Linked DNA regions of Tribolium castaneum. The protein of the gene in region 1 binds, or shares a complex with, the protein of each later gene. Links are inferred from orthologs where the notes say so. Each region holds a gene or a part of one and is shown in the gene's direction. Other genes may lie near its edges.

Region 1 (4,394 bases):
GTCGATAAACCGGCGAAAAAAGCCACATGTGAACTTCAGAACAGTATCCACGCTGTTGAGGTCCAACTGAGGGAGGCAAACCACATTTCCGCCCGTTATAAAGACGTGAAAAAGTCACTGTTACGCGACTCGGCCCGTTTTGAGAGCAATATCAAGCGAATTGAGGAGGAATTAGCGTTGCAAAATAACGACATTACCGAACTGCAACACGTAATGAACGAAGCCACGAAAAAACGGAGCACAGCACGTGGACACCTCCTTCGAGAGGAGAAAATTGCAATGTCAAGTGCACATTTTAGAGATAGACAAACTGTGGAAGGCCAAAGATTGGTTACGAGGCGAAAACAAGAGTTAGAGTTGCTGGAAAAACGTATTTTCCAAGTTGTGAAAGTCGCAAGAGTTGAGGAAATAATTGAGGAGGAAAATGAAACAATGCTCACAACTTTATCACCACCGGAGGAAGTTTTAACTCGGGCTTTCGAGGTTTTGAAGAAAGCGACAGGGGCCACTAACACCTCGGAGGTTTTACACAAATTTAACATGCAAAAAGACACCTTAGAACGGCTTATTTTGCTACGGAAAAAATCAGAAAGCGAGAAGAAACAACTCGAGAAGAATTTGGACGATTTAAACACGCAATTGGAGTTTTTCAAGTACGCTGAAGTGAAGGAAACTGAACGCAAGTCGCTTAAAATGGAACAAATGCTAAGCCAAATCGACGAAATCAAAAACATATCACTCAAAACCAACAATTTGAAACTGGTGAAGGATAAGACGATTCAGACGATTCTCCGATCTGTTCAAGAGTTACAAGCTTGCATTAACCCGATTTCGGTGCCAGAAAGCAACGTTTTGGGCACTTTGAAGTGCATTAAGTCCGATTTGGCCAAAATTATCCGCATTGAAAACGAAGAAAACGTAGCTTTTTTAACACATTTTTTACCATTCCTTGTAATAAATTAATTTATTAGGTCGTTAAACTTGAAGATATTGAAGAAAAGTGGTTGCCGGGACCGTACAGTGGCCTAGTACGTAGAACTCCAATTCCCCAGCCCGGGACTTCCCCGGCTCCTCCTCCACCTCCCACGGGATCTGAAGACGAGGAGGAGGTCCCGTCCAGGACTTACTTGAAACGTCAAGCCCAATTAGTCGTCGATGCGAAGTCACGGCGCAAAAATATTCGAATTCCCGCAAAAAAATAAAGGAAGTAAAATTTTTTGTGTAATAAATTTGCAAATAACTATGTGAAAATTTTCCGCTGAAAATAACAGTTAGACGCAATTACGACATAAACTGGGCACAATAAACAATAAAAATTCACGCAGCGCGAAATTTGAATTTTTTGTTTGGCGCGATTGGTTATTGGTACAAAAAACCATGGTTACCGACTATCATTCCTTAACAACCAGATTGTTTTGGTGAAAACCCGCGTGAAACGTGTGTCAAGAGCGAAACCAGAAACTATCTAATCGTGGTCATATCGCAGTTTTGATTTTTCTTTCGTTCGGTAAACGAGATAAATCTGAATCAGTCTGAATATTGAATCCGTCATTGGTTGGGGGAAGAACCACCGACATTCCAACATGTTGCTGTGAAAAGTAGTACCGAAGAAATTTTCTCACGCGCTTATCTCCCGTCTTTGGCACTTTCGCGCAATAGGTTGCACACGAATCGTTTCAGTTTGTGAAAAACTGTCCTCGGTGTGTTTTTTCCGCTGGCTTTTGGCCATTTTCCGGTGAGTTTGCCGAGATAAATCGGCGTAGGAATACAAGAATCATCCGGTGGCCATCTTGGCGCGTCTCAAACAAAGCCCCCTCTCAGAACGGAGTGTGCTGTGGTCGGTTGTGTATTGTGCGTATTTCAAGCGCTGAAAAAACGCAAATTTTCAATGAAAAACACTGAAAAAGTGGCCGAAAGCACGCGGAGAATGTGTCTAACGTAGTGGTGCGTGTGTGGAGTGTGTGCCCCATGAGGGAATTTACACGAAAATGTGGATTACTAACTGGAAGGATTATGATTTACGGATTATAGTGTCTTCCGCGGTTTTACTGGCCCTAGCGAATGTAGCAACAGGTGAGGACCACTCGTAACAGCCCCAAAACAGGACTTTCACATAGATTAAGACGGCTGTGAAGTCAAAATTTTTGACGTTTTGAGCGAGAGCAAAATGGCGCCGCCGGATGAATTTTATCCCAATTATTGCATTGCTGGACCATAATTAGGCAAATATAAAGCACACTTCCGGCATGAAATGTAAACAAAACGCCAGGTTCTCAAGTACCACTTGATACTCGCGTAAACAAGTTAAGTGACGGAAAATCGTAATTAGGGGATATCCTGAGAAATTTTACGAAATGTGCACATTGCCAGTTATGCAAAATAACCAGAAATCCGTTGGTGCACAATTTGAATCCTTGTTAAGCCGTTGGTTGCTATGGTTTTTAATGTCAAAATGTGAATCGTTGCTATGGTTCTAATGTCAAAATATTGTATCGTTGCCATGGTTTTTATTCTCAAAAATTGCAGCAAAATTAAATAAAGATGTGTAGATAATGAAGTGCTGGGATTATGTGCACTGTTAAGTGTAACAAACCTGTTGTATTTCCGCGCTGTTGTGTGTGAAAAGCGCGCGGTATAATTTTTTACTTTAACTACTTCTGGATTTTCAAGCTGAAACTTACGCCAAACGATTCCTCTGAGTGCCCTGATGACCGTACACTATGAATTTTCTTGTGCAAATTGAAAATAACATTACAAAAATAATTTTTATTTTCACTCATTTCACTTGAATCGCCATTTTTGTTGATTTTAAGGGATACAACGTTCGCCACCAGGGTGTGCATGCGTTGCGTGTGCTTATTTCTGATTGGTTGTTATTGTTTAGCTTCAACAGGTAAGAATCGCACCTGCGTGTTTGTTATGATTATAACACCTTCGGGTATTCCCAGAATGAATTTAAATGACGTATTATACCTTTTTCATTAAAAAGTAGGTGTATTTTTTCATATTTTGCAATTTGAATTTATGTCTCTGTGCTCTGATTGGCTGATTGACGGAAGTGGGGATGCATTCCCGCATTTCCCTTCATGCAACAACACAACCAACAACACCACTCCATTACTATTTTACTTACTAGTGGTGAACAAGGTATTTTTTTGTGAGTGCTACGTTCTTGAGGTTAATTTACCAATCGTGGTGTATATTTCCTTTTAGTTAGCTGGGGCGCAGCCCCAGCCTCCTGCCACGAACTGTACGGCACCCTAGCTCCATAAAAAACACTATTCCACGTGTCGAGTTCCACGTTTTCGAGTTTAATTGGTCGTGGGGTATGTTTCCTTTTAGTTAACTGGGGCGAAGCCCCAGCCACGCGCAGCATAGTTCCATAAAAACCACTATTCCACGTTTCGAGTTCAACATTTTCGAGTTTAATCGTCCGTGGGGTATGTTTATTTTTAGGTCGCTGGGGCGAAGCCCCAGCCTGCTGGGGCGAAGCCCCAGCCTGCGGGCTATCATCTGTAGGCGCCTTGCCTCATTTATAGTTATATTTACGGCTAATATCATTTATTAGAGTGTTAATAAAATTTAAAAAGTCTAGGTCAAGGTCATTCAAAGTAGAATTTTTCGAAAACGGGGCATTTGCACAAACTTTCATGGTCATATCTTTGATCTAGAGGCTTTTTAAAGCAAAATGCAAAAAAAAAATTTTCAAAAATCCAGAAGTAGCTAAAGTAAAAATTTACCAAGCGCGCAAATGTGCTAAAGATTTCAACGTTGGATGAGAAACCGAGCCAAAAATTTAATTAGTTGTGTGGCGAAAAATCTTACGTCATTTGACGGAACCGATAAATATTTTATTAATTAGTTTAGTTCTCAAGAATAATCAAGAGTTGCATGAAACCAGTTATTTAGTTCACGCAATCTGCATCTAGTGAGTGTGTTTTCGTATTCCCAGCTCACTGCGTTCACTTTGTTCTTTTTCTCTAGGGAATTTGAATTTTAATCATCGTAAAAATTATACCGAGGGAACAAATAAATATTGCGACTTGAACCCGCGCCCGTTTTAGACGAGACCACCTGTCATGACCGTTACAGAACTTTTATACATAGGGGGGTTTAAAGTACGTCGGGTGTGACGTCACGACACAGCTGTATATGCTCATACACACATGTAAAAGGACGCTTAAAGATTAGATATTTACACAAACTTTGAAAAAAAAAATAAAGAAATTGTGCAATATTACGAAAATTGGGCCAGAAAGGACCAACATAACATTGTTACCAAGCAACAGTCACATACCGTTACCATGGAAATGGTTATTTTATCGGTAAAATTTGAGTGTTAGCTCAGAAACGTGAAAATTCGAAAAATTTTCGACTTAATTTGGTCATTTTTC
Region 2 (2,487 bases), on another chromosome or scaffold:
TGCCGCCCGGATGGGAGAAGCGAGTGCAACCGGAAGGACGAGTGTATTTCGTTAATCACAAAAATCGGACCACGCAATGGGAGGATCCGAGGACTCAAGGACGGGAGGTTATTGACGATATGCCGTTGCCTCCCGGATGGGAGATCAGGTATACGGACGAGGGGAAGCGATATTTTGTCGATCATAATACGAAGACTACAACGTTTGATGATCCCAGGCCGGGGGCGCCCAAAGGGCCCAAGGGGGTGTATGGGGTGCCGAGGGCGTACGAGAGGTCGTTCAAGTGGAAGATTAGCCAGTTTAGGTAATTGTTTGATAAAAATAAAATGCGAAGCTAACAAAATTTTCCTTTCAGGTTCCTGTGTCAGAGCAACGCCCTCCCCAGCCACATAAAAATCCAAGTGTCGCGTCAGACCCTCTTTGAGGACTCCTTCCACACGATAATGCGCCTACCGGCGTACGAGCTCCGAAGGCGCCTCTACATCATCTTCAAAGGCGAAGAAGGGCTAGACTACGGCGGTGTGAGTCGCGAGTGGTTTTTCTTAGTCTCGCACGAAGCCCTAAACCCGATGTATTGTCTCTTCGAGTACGCAAACAAAAACAACTACAGTCTACAAATCAACCCTGCGTCGTATGTGAACCCCGAACACCTCACTTACTTCAAATTTATTGGGCGCTTTATCGCCATGGCTTTGTACCACGGGAGATTTATTTATTCGGGTTTCACAATGCCCTTCTACAAGCGGATGCTGGGGAAGAAACTTGTGATGAAAGATATTGAAAGTATAGATCCCGAATTCTACAATTCGCTGGTGTGGATCAAGGAGAACAACATCGATGAGTGTGGCTTGGAGTTGTACTATAGCGTCGATTTCGAAGTTTTGGGCCAAGTGGTGCACCATGAGTTGAAGAAAAACGGCGATAAGGAAAAAGTTACGGAAGAAAATAAAGAGGAGTATTTGACGTTAATGACCGAGTGGAGGATGACAAGAGGCATCGAGCAGCAAACTCAAGCCTTTTTGGACGGTTTTAACGAAGTTGTGCCCATTGAGTGGCTGAAGTATTTCGACGAGAGGGAGTTGGAGCTGCTGCTCTGTGGCATGCAGGAGATAGACGTGGACGATTGGCAACGACACACTATCTACAGGCACTACACGCGAAGTAGCAAGCCGGTGGTGTGGTTTTGGCAGGTTTGTATTAAAACCACGTTGTAAACCACTTCTATTTTTTCTTTCTTCTAGTTTGTGCGTCAGTCTGATAATGAGAAGCGGGCCCGCTTGCTGCAGTTTGTGACAGGGACGTGTCGTGTGCCTGTGGGCGGCTTCGCCGAACTGATGGGTTCCAACGGGCCCCAAAAGTTCTGCATTGAAAAGGTGGGGAAGGAGTCGTGGTTGCCGCGCTCGCACACGTGTTTCAATCGTCTTGATCTGCCGCCGTACAAAAGTTACGAACAGTTGGTGGAAAAGTTGACTTACGCGATTGAAGAGACTGATACGTTTGGTCAGGAGTAAAGTTTCAATTGTGTAATAACAGCCGTACCTGATTCTTGACCATGGTTTGAGATTTCGTTTCTTTGGGCCTCTTCTTGCAGTGCTTGTGCAATTTTTGTTAGTTTGTTTGTGTTGTTACTTCGGTCGGATTGTATTTCAATGTGATATGTAGAAATATTGGCCTATTTTCTAGCTTATCTAACAGATTATAACTAAATGTAAATACTTTTTGAAGAGAAAATAATGTGGGGAAGACTACATATTTTTGAATACGAAAAATGACATTCCATCGTGGGTGTGCACTATCATAATTATTTTTTTAATTTTATTTTTAACCAAAGTATACACTGACTGGAACCGAACTGGCTTGAAATTTCATTTACAACCTGTTTACTTTATAATCACTTGTAGAATATTGTAAAGTGAGGAAATGTATATAAATATGCGAAGCGAATTATTAAATTATTACAAGTAAAACAAGTTGTTTTATTTCTTAAAACGACCTCAACAACGTTTCTGTTTTTAATGCTTGCTTACGTGTCCAGAATATATCAATAAATAAATTTTTCTATTTTCATACTTTACAATTCAATTATTTAAAAAACTGGTCAAAAAACGGCCAAGGTTTGTTACCCAATTCCGGAAGTTTCCTTTGTTGCGGGAAAAATTTATCCTTCTCATTCTCATCTAAGTTTACCAGATTTTCAATAATTTCTTCTTTACCTTCTTTATCTCTACGTTTTGTAATGGTATATTCTTTATCAGCTACTTTTCGCGTGATGGTCGTTTCTTCATTACCCTCGTTATCCCTCACAGTATGATGCGTTTCAATAGACTAAAATATGAATAGATTGATATTAAATTTTTAAAATCATAACACGCAACCGTACCCCATCTGGATTCCTAACAGTTTTGGAGGTAACACTTTGGCCAAAAAAGCGTGTCCTCGGTACTGGCGTTTGAGAATTTTCACCCTTAAAAACCGATCCCCAATCCC

Evidence for each region.
Region 2: the proteins of N (region 1) and Su(dx) are in contact, whole or in part, in an NMR structure (PDB 2JMF), measured with the Drosophila melanogaster proteins. The link is inferred for Tribolium castaneum from reciprocal best matches to the Drosophila melanogaster genes N and Su(dx). Residues at the interface, in NP_001245510.1 of Drosophila melanogaster: Lys2323, Gln2324, Pro2326, Tyr2328, Glu2329, Asp2330, Lys2333; in NP_001259898.1 of Drosophila melanogaster: Glu528, Arg530, Thr532, Ala533, Ala534, Glu536, Phe538, Val540, His542, Arg545, Thr547.

The regions. Positions count from the first base shown.
Region 1 is NC_087400.1:125,189-129,582, reverse strand, and holds the start of N (notch), read left to right. Parts: upstream 1-1,436; 5' UTR 1,437-1,988; coding exon 1,989-2,073; intron 2,074-4,394. Other genes in the region: CCDC151 (myosin heavy chain, clone 203), read left to right, coding at 1-918, 972-1,202. UniProt on the Drosophila melanogaster protein: Essential signaling protein which has a major role in many developmental processes. Functions as a receptor for membrane-bound ligands Delta and Serrate to regulate cell-fate determination.
Region 2 is NC_087398.1:5,358,508-5,360,994, reverse strand, and holds the end of Su(dx) (E3 ubiquitin-protein ligase Su(dx)), read left to right. Parts: coding exon 1-304; intron 305-355; coding exon 356-1,190; intron 1,191-1,241; coding exon 1,242-1,511; 3' UTR 1,512-1,970; downstream 1,971-2,487. Other genes in the region: HCLS1-associated protein X-1, read right to left, coding at 2,083-2,325, 2,381-2,487.